Linked DNA regions of Caenorhabditis elegans. The protein of the gene in region 2 purifies or fractionates together with the protein of the main gene of each other region. This does not show direct contact. Each region holds a gene or a part of one and is shown on either strand. Other genes may lie near its edges.

Evidence for each region. Proteins that work in one complex are often made in the same cells at the same time.
Region 1: the proteins of ipmk-1 (region 2) and tsfm-1 fractionate together in Caenorhabditis elegans (co-fractionation; one large-scale study listed by BioGRID). This does not show direct contact.

What each region holds. Positions count from the first base shown.
Region 1 is NC_003283.11:12,267,976-12,274,743, forward strand, and holds tsfm-1 (Elongation factor Ts, mitochondrial), read right to left. Parts: upstream 3,577-6,768; 5' UTR 3,575-3,576; coding exon 3,491-3,574; intron 3,433-3,490; coding exon 3,287-3,432; intron 3,206-3,286; coding exon 2,778-3,205; intron 2,732-2,777; coding exon 2,439-2,731; 3' UTR 2,296-2,438; downstream 1-2,295. Other genes in the region: twk-24 (Potassium channel domain-containing protein), read right to left, coding at 1-145, 214-307, 431-719, 1,207-1,335; capg-2 (CAP-G condensin subunit), read left to right, coding at 3,909-4,213, 4,260-4,970, 5,014-5,395, 5,469-5,933, 5,978-6,405. UniProt on the Caenorhabditis elegans protein: Associates with the EF-Tu.GDP complex and induces the exchange of GDP to GTP. It remains bound to the aminoacyl-tRNA.EF-Tu.GTP complex up to the GTP hydrolysis stage on the ribosome.
Region 2 is NC_003282.8:12,545,305-12,556,387, forward strand, and holds ipmk-1 (Kinase), read left to right. Parts: upstream 1-2,819; 5' UTR 2,820-2,827; coding exon 2,828-2,933; intron 2,934-3,658; coding exon 3,659-3,729; intron 3,730-5,143; coding exon 5,144-5,229; intron 5,230-5,285; coding exon 5,286-5,368; intron 5,369-6,019; coding exon 6,020-6,195; intron 6,196-6,726; exon of another isoform or gene 6,727-6,901; intron 6,902-8,385; coding exon 8,386-8,656; intron 8,657-8,701; coding exon 8,702-8,802; 3' UTR 8,803-9,377; downstream 9,378-11,083. Other genes in the region: Stork-head box protein ham-1, read left to right, coding at 1-26.

The DNA of each region.
Region 1 (6,768 bases), on a different chromosome or scaffold from region 2:
TTCTCTCATTTGTGGTTCTTCAATCGTCACTCCCATTTTTTGTTCGTACCATTCCAAGGCATGTCTTGATTGTTCAAGTTTAAAATGTTCTCGAGACGAATTCCTGCCACGTGGATTAGTGTTATCATGCTCAATTTCTCGAAGTCTAAAACAACTCAAATTGTGCTTTGCGCGTTGTTGATATCCATCGATCAATCTGTCTTTTGCACAAACCTTTGAAAAAGTTGCTCTTGATAGATCTTTCGTCTCTCGTATACATCTTTCTCATGTTCAAACTTTTTGATAAGTTGTGTCGTTTCATAACCACCTGTAAGAAGATGAACCAGATGTGTGAGAACAATGAATTATGAGAGTTCAGAAGATCAAATAAGAAAATTAGTTTTTTTCTAGAATACTTTTACTAAAAATTTGATGTAAAAAAACTACAAACCTTCGATAGCACTGAAAATGACGCCTCCAAATAAAGAAAAAGAGAATAAAACAACAAGCCATGCAATATGTCTCCACATGGTTTTATTTCGAGCATCTCTACTTGCAATCATTACTTTTGCTTTTTTCTCTTTTTCCTTTGCAGCTAGTACTTCTGGATCTTCCTGTTGTGGAAGTTCTTCCACATCTAAATTCTTATCCTTCTTCTTCTTTTTCTTCTTTTTCTTTGATTCATCTTCAATTACTACTTTTGTATCACTTGTTTTATCACTTTTTGCATTTGCCGCATTCTGGAATATTGAAATTGAGAAAATTGAATTTCTCAGATGGAGTAATTATTTAGACTGCTAAAAACTATTACTATGGAGAGCTGTTGATTTGATGAACGTACACTATGTGTTGCTATCTGAATTGTATTAAGAAGGTGGTTCAATTTGTGCCAATTATGTTCATTATTATATTAAAAGTTTAAAAAAATTTTAAATTTAAATTTAAAACTGAAAAAAAGATTTTTGTTTATGCGCATTTTTCAGCCAAAGGTTTTGGCACTTTGCCAAATGTTTGACTTCTTCAGAAATCTAGAGCTTTCTTGCATAATAAAACCCTACATTCCATATTGAAACAAAATAAATTAAACTATTTTAGTAAATTATAAAATTAAAAAGAATTTATTTTTGGTCAATTTCCAAAACTATTATAAGTGAGTACAAAAACTTATTGAGCTCTAAAGAACTTAAATGCACATCTTACAGTAAGTTTCCTAGATGATGTAAGTACCTTATTAAAACTGGGTAAACTTTTAGACATGTTTCCAAGACCTCGATTCATTCGATCTTTCCATTTACTATCTGCACTTTTGCTCCTTCCAGCAACAATTTTATCATCTTTCTTTGTGGTTCCATTCATATCACCTTCTGAAACAAAAACAATGAGAGGATAAGTAGGTGATAAGTTGATGATAAGGAAGTGGTAATAACATAAAAATCAATGAACTCTAGAGAAACAAAAAACAATTGGATCACAGAGAGATGGAAAAGAATGCTCTTATCATTATCTTTTCTCTATCTTGAGAAGAGTGTGAATTTCCCAAAGAATCCCACAGGAGCAGGAGAGAAAGACACGGGCGAAAAAAAAACAGCAGAAAACGCAAAACGCATGATATTCTCTTTGTGTATTCTTTTACTTCTACCTTTACAACAGCGGTGCTCTCTCAAAGAGAGCACATAGGCGTCACGTCTTGATACACATTTGATGATGAAAAGGAAAAATGACGATGAGAAATGAGGAAGCTTGAGAAGAAAACCGAAGAAGAAAGATTGGGGTTTGTTGAGTTGTGTTCCTTTGGAATGTGGTATGAGAACTTGAGAAATGGGAACATCTGGAATATAAAACTATGAGGAATGTTCGGTGATCTTTCGTATTTTTTGCCATGTCAATGGAACTGAAACCGTCTAACTTGATGATAATGACCAAGATAGTCCCTTCAGTTTTGGAACAAGAGTAACAGACTCAGCAACAATATTTGTTTCAGATTGTCTTGATAAATTGCCAAATCTAAGAACGATACAATTTAGAACAATATCGCATGTTTCAACAAAGAGCTCAGTGATACTACAGTACACCTACATCACCAATTACTCCTACAGTACCAATACAGTACCCCAAAAATATATATGTTTTCTGAGTGTTCTCAGCAGTTTTCTCGTATTTTTACTATATTACAACAATTGTTTTAAATTTTCGCGGATTGTGACCTTAAAATACATTTGATTTCGACAGAAATCCGAGTGACCATGAATTTCTGAAATAAAATAAATGCATTTTAATCGTCTTCTTGTTCAATTGTTTTCCACGGAGGAATGTTCTGAAAATTGCAAATGTTTATTTTTTAAACTTTAAATTCAATTTATATGTCGATAAATTTATTTATCGATTAACAAAACAGAGAAACAAAAGCATTCTAAAAACTAATAAGGCATGAAAATAAAGTTACTACCACTTTTATCTAATTATTCGCTTCCAAGCTCTACACGAACAAAATCGAGAATGTTAGCATTGTGGGATTTTAGGTACTCATGAACAGATTGAGATGGATTCAACATGAAGGCTTGGCGGAGAAGAGCAGTTTCCGATTCATCAATATTAGTTACAACAACTGGATCAGCATTTGGATCATGCCCTTCTTGACTACGAAGCCCTTCTTGAGTTTTCACAGATTCTGCAGCTTCGCCGAGGGATTCCGGGGACATTCCGATAATGTGCTGGCATATCTGTCCGGCAAGTTGCTGACTACTGATTGACCCTGTAAATGTTAAGACTTAATTTTTTACTTTATTTCTTTGTTTCACCTGGACTCGATTGATTTAGAGCGATGAGTGAAATGAACCGTCCCATCGGGATATCATCAGTTCCATCTTTAGGATGTGAAGCTCCAAACAAAGTTGTTCCTTCGGGAGCTTTAAAAGCCTTAACTCTTCTCACTGTCATGTTCTCACCAAGCTTTCCGATTGAAAGGGAGAGCACTTCACGCATATTTTTTCCGTCGGAATCGGTCAGATCCCCAAGATCATAGGTGAATTCTTGAAGTTTTGAGCCGCTCGATATAGATTGTGGCTTAGCTTTTGCGAGAACAGAGTTGGAGATGTTTGACAACAAATCCTTGAAAGCTCCAGATCGCGCCACAAAATCAGTTTCACAACTGAGTTCTACCACAGCTGCTGTTGAGTTGTCCGTGACTACAGATACAAGACCATTCGATGTTACACGAGTTCCAAGTCTGGAATATTCTATAACTATTAAAATAATTCCTTGTGAAGTCAACATTCCAAATTAAAAAAATTTCAAAATAAACACTTACTTTGCCGCTTTGGCCCATCCTTCCTTCGCTGCAGCTTCTTTCAACCATTTTACAGCACTATCCATATCATTTTCGCCAAACTGAATAAGTGCTTTACGACAATTCACATAACTATAACCAGTCTTTTTTCGAAGAGCCATTAGAGCCTGAAAAACAATTATTTTTTATTTTTTAAAATTAATTAGGGTTCCTAGATTTTAATACCTCTTTAGAGACTTTCTTTTCGGCCTCAGCCAAGTTTCGACTAGTCGTTGATAGTAGACGTACAAATGGAGCTCTAGCAAACATTTCTAAAATTGGAAACTTTAGTTTTCAGTCAATATTGATAATTATTTTAAGAGAATAAAGCAAATTATGCAATTTTCTGGGCATTTTTTGCATTAAAAAATGAAAAGGCAAGTGCGCCCCAATGAGAAAGACGGCCGCGCGAAAGAATTCGTTTTGAACATAACAAGGAAAATGTGTTTCTTTTTTTTTAATTGCGAGGTAAATTATATTATTGAATTATTTTATTGATTATTTATAATTATTTTTAGGTGAAAACTTTAATACTATTATTTTTTGCTATTTTTTTGTTGAAATAAATTCTATAATTCCATAGAAATTTTCAGTAAAGAGATCAATGCCGAAGAGCAATCCGGTAACACCTAACAAACAACCATCAGAAGACTGGAATGAGTTACTCACAGAGTTCCGTGGAAAAGGAGGTCGGGCTCTTCAGAAAACATTCATCAGAAAATTGTGGGCAGTTCAAGAAGATATTATTGCCAATGCAAATCCATCGACTCTTCGGTGTATTTTCTTCGCACCAGCCTTGTTGATTTGTCCGGAAGGTATAAAATTATCAGCTGAAATTCTCCCAAAAATTGGTGTTGGAAATGGACTGATACTACTCGAGAAGTTAATACTAAAGTTCAATCTCACCGAGTAAAGTTTATACGCTGAAGAATTCCATTTATATATATTTTTGCAGCACTGAATGTCAAAGGTATGGTGAAGTATTCGTCACAGCTTGGAGAAATGCATATCAGGAGGCTAACTTTGATTTGACAGAGGAATTGGAGACCGATGTGATCAGTGTCATGTGTCAGCATGCATTATATGCTCACAGGCCTACCTGCACTAAATTTCAAAATGTGATTGCCGCATTTGCACACGCGAAAAAACTGGACAAAAGTGTAGATGAAATGGTGACAAGGCTTCTCAATGGATGTCTTTACCGAGCGCTGGACGCTCCAAATTACATTGTACAGTCATCAGCTGCAGAAGTATTTTTCAATTTTTACCCACTAATTGGCGAGGATACTGAAGACATGGATAGGATAATGGAAAACCAACATCGATATATGATGGACTTATTACGTAGTGATGTTATTTCCATTCGAAGCGAAGCCACGAAACATGTCTTGAAGGCAATCAGCGAATTCTGGCTTCTTATTCCAAAAAATATCGTGAAGGAACTCATGGGATACATCATTGATACAGTCGCGAAAGACACTGTTGTCAGCGTCCGCGTCGCCGTTTTTGAAGGTCTTAATGAAATGGCATTTGTTCCGGCATGTCTCACAGCATTCGAATATGGATTGAAATGTGCCGTTGATCCAGCACTACAGGATAAATCTGAACGAGTTCGTCTTGCTGCTTACCAAATAATTTCTCGTCTGAAGAATCATAAATTTATTAGGTAAAATGAACCCAAATCAACAAACTAAAAAATAAATTTTCAGTGTGTTCGATATCATTACTCGAGATGATGCCATTGCGAAACTCGATCTGGAAAACGTAGAGACCTGCCGCCGTCAACTGATTCCAATTATGCATATTTGTCTTCCTATCTCGAAAAGTCTGGATGAAGCATACTATCGTCCTCGTGTCAACTACATGTTAGGAAAAAGTCGATTGGCTCTTTTGAGTTACTTCCGATTGCTTGGCCCAATGAAAATCATTGATGCATCCCAAGCATCCAAACTTATCGAAATGTTTATAACCTGGGCATATCGTTATCTTCGTAAAAAGGATGGCCCTCCATTACCAGAGACTGCCGAAGGATACAAAAAAGCGAGAGCTTATCTTGAGTGTGCTCTCATTCTGTACATGTCATGCAAAGGAGTTAGTTTTCTATTTCTCAAATTTAAAATTGAAGACCTTTTTTAAAACATTATAAACTTCTAAACTTTTTCAGATGCTGATGTCAGATGGCGATGGAACTTCAAAAGCGAAATGTGATCAAATATTTGGAAAAGTTGTCAAGGAAATATTTGAAAAATACGCCAACACTCCTATTCTCGGAACTGCGACAGCAATCAGCAGTGTCATTCCTAAAGATTACCTTAAATCAATTGCTAATGATGTTCTCGCAAGACTGGAAGACGACGATGTTCCTCCAGAAGCAGTTGAGCCGTTTCTTGAATCTGCAATTCATTTCAACCCGGATTCTGTTTTTGATTCATTCGATAGTGGGCTTAATGTTCTTGTAAATTTGTATGGAACGAAACAGAGTAAGAAGAAACGACGTGAATTGGAGGATCCAGAAGATGTACTGATTATGACGTTGAACCGTCTCAAATATTTGCTACAGAGTCACAGTACATCAAATCTTATTGCAATGAAAGATGAATACCGAACTAAAGTCTTGGATTTGTTGAAGGTTTGTGTATTAGTTCATTATTGAAACAATAATATTATATTTAGAAAATTGATCTAATTCGAGAAGGAATTGAAATTAGGCTTGCAAAAGAAGAAGGCCAGGAGCACACTCTCAGTGATGATGTTCTTCTGTCGATACTCGAATTTAGATTCATTTTGCCCTTTTTCGCTGCAACTAATGGATCTGAAGATGCTGCGGATCGTAACCAAACTATCGAGTCAATGAAAAACCTTCTTCTTTGGTTTGAAAAAAATATTTCAAGTCAAATGGCGACTTTTGGTGAACACAATCAAGATTTTCTCATTCAATTAACAAGTACATTCTTGAATTGTGTAAACGTGTCACTATCTGCGTATGATTTCAAAACGAGACCTGTCGAATTTGAAGATGAGGAAGATAACGAGAATCGGGATCCAAGAGAAGAAAATGATGCAGCGAAAGATCAGGCTACGGTAGCAGAAGTTATAAGCAGGTAGGGTCATACGAAAGACTTAATTCTTTAGAAATGAAATATATTTATTAAGAAAGGGATTTAAATATGGAGCAACGCCAGTGGAAAATTGCTAACAACGATTCCCATACAAAAATGGTCGAATATCATAAAAAAATTTTTTTTTAAATAAGATTGTCTTAAATCTTCATTAATATCCTTTTCACTATTTAATAATTATGGAAGCCAAAAAATGGGTTTCTCTTGAACTAAAAATTTTGAAGAACTTAAAAATCTTCGGTGTATTTAGACGATATGCCCACTGTCGCTACTCGGTATTTAACCACAGGTTTTCATTTCTTGATAGAATAACAGTGAAGTTATTCTAAATGTCTTATAAGACGT
Region 2 (11,083 bases):
GAGGCGTCCTGATCTCCAATTTGTAGATTTCATACTTTTTTATTTGAAATTCTTGGTAAAACTTTTCAACCATTTATTTTTCAAATTATCAAAATGTTTAGCTATAGTTCCACAAACACATCAGAATCCAGTGAAATTTTGTTTTTTTTCTACTTCTATTTTTACCCTTACAAATAGAGTTTGTTAGCGCACTTTTAAGCCCCCACCCATCAAAACGTGTCTTCTTTGTTTTCACCCAATTTCATACTTTTTTTGTTACACTTTCTGCGTCTCTTCTACTCCATGTTGGAGTTGTGTCTATGTCTCTTCTCCCAATTCTATTTCTCTTAAATTTTCCCCATACACCCCAAGTTTTATCCTGTTTTAATGTCATTTTTCTATGAAAAACTGTTTTATTTTTGCCCGGAAAATAAATATGGGACTAATTTACTTTTATTAAATTGCCACGTAGCTTTTGAACGGAATATCCAGAGCGTGCTACTGATACGTAGAAAAAATAGAAAAGTTTTTAGGCTTTTTAATTGGTAATTTTTGCTTTTTCTTCTGGAATTAACTAAGAAATTCCAAAAATTCCAAGAATATTCAAACTCCTTTTTCTGTTTCCCAATTAAACTAGTCACGCGAATGTTTACGCCCGTTGGTGATTTCCTGTTCTCTCAATAGTCCAAATGTCTTCGTTTTCCGGAGCAGGTGGTTTAGGATTTTGAACAGGAGGTTGCAGCCTCATTCACCTACCTACCAAGAAAGGGAGGGATTACACAAGAGAATCATTGGGATCCCCGAGTTTTAATTAGTTTTCGTAATTATTACGCAATTTGTTTTCGCTTTTTAGCACTGTTTTCGGGAGCTTTACGGATCATAAATGGATTATGGGCAAGGAGCAATATCCCGAGTTTTTATGGTAGGATTAGGAGGTCAGGTGAGGGTGAGGTGGTGAATGTAGGGAAATGTTATGATAATTTGGATTAATGTAGTCACAAAAGTACGCAATCATCTCCCAATCATAATATCAAATTGCACAATCTTCGGTACTTTTGAGTGCTGTAGTTTCAAAAAGACACCCTACACAATAGGCCTGTGCATTTTGTCGTGAACTATGGTGCATTGAAATATATATATATATATACTATATAGTGCGTTTTTTTCAAAGATACCGTAGTCATATCAAAAATTGCTAATACAACAAACTACTGTTCAGCTTTTTAGATAATTTCTAGCAATTTTCCCTAAAAGTACTGTAACCCCGAAATCGCTTTTTTTTTAATGGAGACTTTACTTTAAAAAATTTTGGGTACTGTAGGTACAAAAACCCAGGCTTACCAATCTTTTTAAAATTGTGCTTTTTTCTTAAACTGTAAACAGTATTGTGAAATTTATAATTTTAGGGTTAAAATTTACCGGAATTTTTCGTTTTTTCAATTGGACCATTATTGCAATTTTTCACAATATCTAGTTTGTGAAATGTCTGTTTTCGAATATTTGTTGTGCCTGGTGACTAATTTGTCCAAGTATATTTCCCAATGTCAGGTGTAAAAATGATTTCATATCTGTTTGGTTTTCACCATGTTTTCTCTAAACAATCTCTCTTTCTCTATTGTTCATAATTTCAACTTTGTTTCGGTCTGTACGTACACAACCAGCGACATATTGAAACATATGTGCGCTCGCGATTTCTTTTTGTATTGCAATTCTTCTATAAGCCTCTTACTTCAAGAGAGAATATCTCGGTTGTTTTTAGTTGTATCAAAACGTTTTCAACTAACAAACTATTTTTTACTTCTTTTTCTATCGTTCTGTAATTTAATCGTAATAGATCTCTTTAAAATGAACTGAGATATTGGCAACCAAAGTGGAGCCATTTCTTGAAATTTGTTATGATTTTCAAGAAAATTGGACGCCTACACAAATAAATTGTTGTTTGCTCTATTTCTTATCAACAGCTCAAATCACAATGAACTCAATAGACATTGCACTGAAAATTGCAAAAATTCATTGCTTTTCCTGAATTTCGTCGGAGCACTTTTCTACTGTTTCATATCTTCATCTTAATAGTTGTACAGCCTCCATTTTGCTCAGTTCCAATCGTTTACCCAAAAATTCAAATAATACATTTTCCTAATGATAACTTCCACACCTTCTGGACACCTCTCGCATTAATTACATGTTATGCTCTATTTTTCTTCTGCTACGTGTGCTCGATATAACTAGAATTTTGGGAACATGTGTGCTCGGGTCGCTTTCACACACTCTTACCGACTGGCAGGATATCTTAGACACCCTCTTTAAAAGATACACCCAATGTAGGTGTGTATTATGGATGAATGAGGGTTATTGGATAGTCTAAATAATACAAAAGTGGGTTGATTTGTAATGGTAGTTTTTAAAATAATTTTTTTAAAGAAATTTGCCAGGAGGGCCAATGAAGATTCGAGTGGGAGCCATCTCCTAGAACTTGGGTTATGTTCTGAAATTAGATTTTTTTAAATATAACTTTCAACTCGTTCAGGACTATTTATCGTGTCAATATATACCTTTTTATTTATGATTTATCTAATCTTTTTGTGTGAACCGGCCCACTTCGCCTGCCATGAAGAATTGGAATCGATTTTTTAAGGCTCTAGTTGAACATAGTAGTTTTTTTTCCTTTTGGATTTTTTTTGGCAAGATTTTTTTTTGATTTGATAACTCATAACATAGTTGACATTAACGTTATAAAAAGTTGGGAATTTTCAAAAAGTTAGGTTTTTGAAATAGTTGCATTATCATAACTTCAAATAATCTTTTATCAGTCTTTATGAATTTTTCTAAACCACATTAGTTTCCAGATATGAGTGTGCTATCAAATGACGGGCTCCCAGAAAAATATCAATGGTTTTCGGATCAAATTGCTGGGCATCATCCGTCGGTTATCAAAAATGGGAAAAGAGAAATTGGTAAGTTTTTAATTTTTTTGAAGTATTTACTTTGAAAAATTCAATTTCTAATCACTTTCTGCTCTAAGTAGTTAAAGTAAGCTCCAGATAATTCAAATTCAAAAATTCTCCGAAAAATCCAAACATTTGAAAAAGAGCCCTAGGTGTGGTGGCTCATCTACAGCTGAACAAACAAAGGGAGTGCTGGAAAAACAAAAGGATATAGACAACAAGTCGTTTTGTGGCTAAGAGAGAGATTAATCGCACATTATTATGCAAATCGGAGCAAATAGGGTTCCAATAGAGGGCGGATGTGTTTGGAGGCTTTGAACTGTGGATAGGGGTTATGTTTAGAGTTTACTTGTATTTGAACTTTGAATTTTTTTCACAAACTTCTAGGGCAGAAAAAAATGCTACAAATTTTTTTTTGAAGACTTTCAAAGATTTTTAAGCAGTGTCAAGGTAGGCAAATTCTGGAAGTTGTTAACTATTTTGTTCAAATTTTTGACCTAACTTGATCAAAAAAAAATGACCCCGCGAATTCAAAATTTTTAGCTCTCTGAATCCGGGAAAACGTGATTTAGGAGAAATCTAAATTTCATACTACATTAAAATAGAAACCCATTGAGAATTTTTGGAAAATTTCGGTAGAAATGAACAGATCAAAGATGAAAATTTTCAATTACATATGCACATGGCAATTACCATTTTTCAGAAAAAAAAGATTTAACAAAAAAAAGTTTCAGGTCTTCTAAAAATCCCCGGGTCCCGAGAAATCCTCAAACCAAAACAAGATGCGTCAAGAGGAGAGAAAGAGGTTGGTTTGACTGTTTCCAGTTAAATTTGATTTTTTTTGTAATCATTCTGAAATCTACTAAACTACAGTACCTATAAAGGTATCATCTAACTATATATTACATGTACATGTCTCTCTCACATCCATATGACAATACTGATGACGTCACCCAATCTCATCATCAGTTGACACGGAAACGTGGCATGACGCAAGCTTCTGTCCAGACGTTTGGTGGGGGAAGTTGTTGCGATGGAAAAGGACACCTGTGACCATGAAAATTATGACATATGGAGAGAAAAATAGAGGACACATAAATAACGGGCTTGGTGGGAAAATGGGAATGGGTTTCAGATAACATTGGAATTTTTCCCAAGGGTTTGGACGGGGGTGGCGCAATAATACTAATTGGTACTAATTTACACCATTTTTTGGTATTTTTTAATAAGCATAGTTTACAAGGGGTCAAATTTCTTGTACGTTAGGGAAAGGTATGAATGGGCAAGCTCAACTGTTTAGAAGTTGTAAAAATGAATTGCACTGGTACATTCAATAATCCTTAGTTGTAAGGCATTTGATTTTGGCAGTATCAAATTCGTTTTTTGAATAGTTCTAATTGCTTTATAGATCTGGTGTAACATAATTCATTGAAAATTCAAGTTATAATTTTAGTCCGGAGATCTATTGTATTAATTTTACATTGAAATGCAGGCATGCCTAACAAGAAAAGTTGGTACTCATCATAGCATCAACAGCAAAAAAGTCACCCTTCTGCCTCCCACAGTATATAGTTTCAAGTGTACCTTCTCCCATAGTAACTCCTTCCGGAAGTCGAGTAGATAATGATACTTGGGAATTTGGTAAACTACAGTAACTAAATATGTGAGAAGAGTACTCAGATGATTGATTAGTTACGTAATAGTAGCATTGGGGGAGGGGTGATGATCCGGGTGAACATGTAATGGAAGACAAGGGACTTTTGTGATTCACCCTTAGAATGTTTAACTTATCAAAGATATAGGAAAACTTCTAAATTTTTCCCTGACCCTGAGTTCTCATGTTAAAAATCACAAAAAATTCACGGATTTTAAATTTTATTTCGGATGAAAACCAAAAACTTCAGTTTTGAAACTACTGTAAATTTCAAATTACAATTTTTGCCGCCGGAGACCGGATTTTTCCACAGATGTTAACTTACGCTAAAAGTATATCAAAAGGTCAAAAATGACTCTCAACAGTTGCAGTTTGTAGTGGGAGATTTTTAGGAAAAATGCAAAATTCTCCACCCAAAACTCAGGAAAGATTCATATCTGACACATGTCCATTACACCGAATTACTCAACTTTTCTCCGCTCAAATCATCCGGAAACTAAACCTTGAAACCAGATAGATAACCATCTTAACTTGCTTACGCAAGAATATCTAAATATGCTTCCAGGTTGCCTTATACGAACTCCTACGCTCGTGTACCACTTCACCGTCTACTCCACCAGAATCTACTACTTCAGATGAGTTACGTAAACGGTTAGTTGATTGACATCATGTCAAACATCGCATTGGATTTGAACCGGATATTGCAGGGTACGAATGGAAGATATCGAGATGCTCTGCAAGTTGACTGCCGACTTTTATGGAATACAGACCATTTTTGTCGATGGGCAAGGTGAGGGACTTTTTGTAGGCAAATTGGTTTATAGTTTGTAGTTTGTAGTCAAGAGTATGAAGCTTGTAGTTGCACTGGTCTTTGTTTTTTTTGGACATATTTTATTCACCCCATAAAATTTGATGATCTCCATCTCTAAAAATTATTCAAATTGCGTCCACGGCGCCATCCTGCCATATGACAGATGTTTTTTTTTTTCATCAATTCTTCAAGCGGTATAGGTTCAGAGGTGTCACACGCGTGTCCTCATCATCATTTTACCCCCTACCAATTTCCCTTTCATTCTGATAAAATGGGTAAAACGATGAGACCAATTTGAATGCGATCCATTTGAATAAGATGCGCGTGCTGCGAACAAAAAAAAACATAGAAGGTTTGAAGATGGGGGAACAAATTTACATTTTTATGACGTGCCAAATTGCATGGGGAAATTGACTATTTTGAACTGAAAGCGGGCAGTTACTGGGTGGATTTAGATTTGGAAAAATTGCGGGATTTTGAAATTATTCTGCTTTTAGGGAGCTCTTAAACAGCATGAAAAGTATTCCTAAATTTGAAATTACGAGATTAAGTTACTAAAGTTACACAGTTTTGAGCACATTTACATACTTGGTATCAAAAAGTTTCAGCCTAAAAGTCACTATTTTCCAGACCGCGAGTTCCTGGCAATGGAAGATGTGACAATTGGCTATCAGAGACCGGCGATACTGGATCTAAAAATGGGACAAGTGACCTATGATCCAATTGCAAAACCAGAGAAAATTGAAAAAGAACGAATCAAGTATCCGCCACAGGCCAAGATGGGAATGCGGATTCTTGGATATAGGGTGGGTTATTTTCTGATATGTTTTGAGGTGTACTGTAAGATTTTTGCAATGACCGTTGCGTATGTTATTCCAATATTATGTATCTGTAAAGTTACTGTAATATTATTGTACCTCACTCTTGAAGGAAGCCTTGTAAATAGTACAGTAGAGTACTGTAGAAATACTCCAACTGCGAATCTCCTAGTGAAGGTTACTGTAAGGATTTGAAAACTGTAGTCTTTCAGATGATACAGTACAGATCACTTCAATTTTTTCTGTATCTTCTCGTGCAAATAATGAAAGATCGTTGTGCCTGTCAGGAGGTCAGGGAATACTGTATTAATACTTTAGTATTGCCTTTATCAACAAATTTCGGTAGTATGAATATTTTTTCCGTTTTCAAATGATAGCCGCCAGCCGGTGACTACAGTACTCATGGTAATCCGTGTCTAATCATTAAAAATTCAAAATCTCTTTGTCTTCCCAAATCTACCCGGAACACACTGCTGTCATCATGCTCAAGCACTGGGGGTTAATCGTCTATTCTTGACTCCCGCATACCGCCAGTTTTTGAACGGGTCTTTTCCCTGTGTCTCTCGTTATACACGCTATTTTCCGGCGGAATCTAAGTGTTGCAATTTGCGAAAAGAATGCCGAATGCTCACAGATGGGTGCAATTATACGATCAATTGTGTCATTGACACTCTCGAAAAGGTACAAGTTCCGATGAATGTTGCCGGATGGCTGACAGCTGGGAAGGAATTGGTTTTTTGAATGAAAAATGAATTGATTTTGTAAAGCGGAAGTTTGCGGGGAGTTAAAATTAATTTTTTGCAATAAATTTATTTAAACTATGAATTTCAGACAAATTGATTTTGAGTTTATTAGTTTAGGTTGACTGAAAGTTCAAGTTGATATATCTATGTTGTTTTTACAGTTAATTGTAAAAATGTTTAGCTTTTTGTTTTCTATACTTTTGTAATTTACAACATTTTTTTTAGCATTCAAACTAGCCGAGATAATAAGTTTTAAACTAGGTCCATGGTAGGCAGGCACGACTTCAACCCTATGAACATTTTTATGTGAAACGTTTTGATTTTTACACTGAAAGTCAGGCATGCCTATTAAGAAAAGTTGGTGCTCATCATAGTATAACAGCAAAAAAGTATCCCTTCTGCCTCTCACAGTATATTGTTTCAAGTGCACCTTCTCCCATATTAACTTCCCCCGGAAGTCGAGTAGATAATGATACTTGGGAATTTGGTAAACTACAGTAACCAAATATGTGGGAAGAGTACTCAGATGATTGATTAGTTACGTAATAGTAGCATTGGGAGAATGATCAGGTGAATGGAGGTTAGGAATTCTTGTGATCATGGCCAGAAAATTCTAAGCTGTCCTAGCCAGAATTTAAGATAAAAAATTCCAAAACTTTGTAAAATTTTTTAAACTACAAACTACAGTGTTTTCAAGCTGAGCTAAACATATTCTGTTACAGTCAGCAGCTCGGAAATTATATTTTATTCAGCTTTTCTGTGCATCCTAGTTATTATTCGAACACATCTCATAACTCTTGACCTTCATGCGTTGGCAAAAGAGAAAGGGATCATCATCTATTAAGTGCTTGTATAACTTGTTAATCTGGTGCACAAGTGTTCCGTGCACTCTTCCTTTGATACCGTAGTTTACAGCCACGTGGCAAGTTCTCCGATTACCTAATCAGAGAGACCGCGCGAGAAAGGAAGAGAGAGGCGGCACAATAAATGGGCCTATCGTATTACATTAGGGTCACACCTGTTCGACATGGATAGGGAAGAATGAAGAAAATGGAAGAATGTTTGAAATTCTTCTAGGATTTGAGGAATTGGAGGTGGAGGGACTTAATATGTACAGATTTTGGAGTTGGGGATTATTTTCACAATAGTTTTGAACCGAGCCAGACGAGTGCTCAACTTTTAGATACCGCCACAAAAGCTCGGATTACGGTAGCAAGAATTTTTTGGCGCGAGACTCAACTTTTGCAAAGTTTGTTTTAACAAAAAAAAACATCTACATTCATCTTAACTTCAACAGATTTCAGTTCATGTTTAAAAAAGTTGGGTCATACCACAATACACTCAAGATTACTGTGACTAGCTTTTGGTGGCAAGACCTAATTTTTTTTCAAATTCCAGAAGAAAATGATTATACTAAAATTCAAAACAATTTCAGATCCATCGCTCCGACAATCAAGTGGAGGTGCGAGACAAAGACTGGGGGAAGTCTTTCGACGAAACCACTGTTGAAACCGGGCTCCGCGAATTTTTCTCGGCAAGATCTGAAGCTGACCTGAATCAAGTTCTTCTGGAGGCCCTGGACAAGCTGAAAATTATCAAAAACTTTTTTGAAACCCAAAGATCACTTCAATTCTTTGCTTCCTCACTTTTATTCGTGTTTGAGGCTGATAAGGAGTTGCCGATTAATATGAGAATCGTTATGATTGGTAGGTATCAATGCGATAGATTTCAAAAAAATAGTTTTTTTCCAGATTTTTCTCATGCATTTGCATCGAGTGGGGAGCCAGACAATGGATATTCATTAGGAATTCAAAATCTTGAAAAGTTTTTGAATAATATTATTTCTTCATAGTCATCACTGATCGAGTATTCAGCAAAAATGTGTTCGTAAATTTACACCATCTCAAGCTCATATCTCCGTTGGTTTTGGTGATTTGCAAAAATTCTCAAGTAACACAACTCTTGTTGCATATTTTTATATACTTTTGTAGTTGAATGCTCACTGATATTTCTAAAATAACCTGAATATTCGGTGCTACAGAAAAATACTATTTATATGAGACTCTCTGATCCAAAAAAATTTTAGCTGCAATTTTTTTCGAATTTTTAATTTTTACGTGTCATCCACCCACATCGCTTCCCTCCAAAAAAATCCCGTTTTCTTGCTTTCCTGTTTTGTTTTTTTACGGCTAACTTTAAATATTTGTACTGCTTCAAAGTGCTTTTAAAGTTGACAAAATAATATCTTCCATACTGTAGAACTTGGATGTGTTCCATATTAAAGAATATTAAGAATTCGACAAAAAAAAACTTTGATCATTCAATATTCCACCGTTTCTAGATGCGTTCAAAGGTTTTAAATTTCAAGATTTCAACAAATCTAGTTCCGTCAATATGCAATATGCAAGTAACAACGAAAATTTTAGTATTTACTACAAAAAAGTATTCAAATCGGTGTAAATTTTCAGCAGTTTGCTAAATTTGCTAAAAAATAAAGTTGCAAAATTGAACGAAACAAAGCTTCGAAGAAATTTAATATTTCAAAATTCTACTGTTTCAAATATTATTCAAAGCCTACCAATAATAATTGAAGTTTAATCACATTGAAAATTAGGAACGGTCAAAAACAATTAATTTCAAGAGATAAAAAATTTGGAGCTTTTACTGTTTCAAATTGCATTTAAAGTATACTAAATTGAACTATAAAAAGTCTGTTTCACTTCCAAAGTTATGAAAACTGTAGTAGTAGAACAAAGGAAAATGTTTAAACTCCAACAAAAAACTTTGAAATTTTACCGTTTCAATATGTACTTAAAACCAACAAATATTGACTCAACTCATTACAGTAACACCGGTCGAAAAAAATGTTTTCTATAAATTTTTACTGTAATTTGGTTTCAATTATTCGTATTAAAACATTGTAGGTACCGGAACATGCGACACTTCTTTGGATTTCCTCGAAAGCTCATATTTTTGAAAATTTTGGCAATTCTCCAAAACTTTGATCGGAAATTATGGGAAATCTAAAATTTTTTGGAAATTTTTTGGAGTGTTTATTATGATAATCGGTCTGTTTTGGTACGTTGTCTCAAAACTTCCAACGATTTTCGTGTAATCTTTTCTTGATGAATATATTTTATTTCGAAAAAATAAATTATTAAATTAAAAGTTTCCGTTATTCCTCGTACTTTTGGCCAATTTTTTTGATATTCTGAAGATAGATCAGTAAAATTTTGATCTAAATTACTGTAGACTTACAATTAAAAATTTCCAGTACCCCAACTCCAACCATTGAACTGAACCTTTCATCTGAAAAAAAAGTTCAATAAAATAATTTTCTTATAGTTAGCACCATACCTTTTAATTCATTGACACGGGACAACAATCTGTGAGTTTTCCCAACTCTGAAAAACTCCACAAATGTATATGATGTAAGCATATCATTTTTCTTACTTTAATTTTTCTTTTTTTTTTCGTTTTTAAAATTGTGGTAAATACCAATTTTTTTTTAAAGTTTGGAATTTTAAAATAATTTTCAAGCATTCTTACATGTCCGAAGCCTCTTCCACCTTACCTTTCAATTCTTGGTTTTTGGGCCACGCGATTTTGGACGATTTTTTCCAAATCTGAAAAGAAAAAATTATTTATCACTTTTTTAGATGTTGTTGGGATCAAAAATCAAAGTAGAACTAAAATTTTTAAAAATTGCAACATATTTAGAAAATGTATACTTTTGAGAAGTTTGGCTCATGTTTACATTTTAGAAGCTCTGTAATTAATTTTTAATAAAAAACAACTGTAAAAACACTCAATTTAAATTGATTATTACACATTTGAAATGATTATTTTTTGACTAGCAATTTTTTAACAACTTCCTCAAAAAAGGGTTTATCAAAGAAATCGTCAACTGGCATAATATTTTACAGTTTTTCTCTTGTTTTTATTTTCTTTAAATGCATTTTTGTAGATCAAACATCATCATTGAGTAAAAAATATCATTGATTAAAAACATGTTGAGTACTGCATTTTTATAAAAACTCGGTGCTCAAAACTTGGAAAATAACTAAATTGGACGTAATGTGGGATATTTTAACGTTATGTTAAAAATTTTCCTATAAAAATTATTCAGCAGA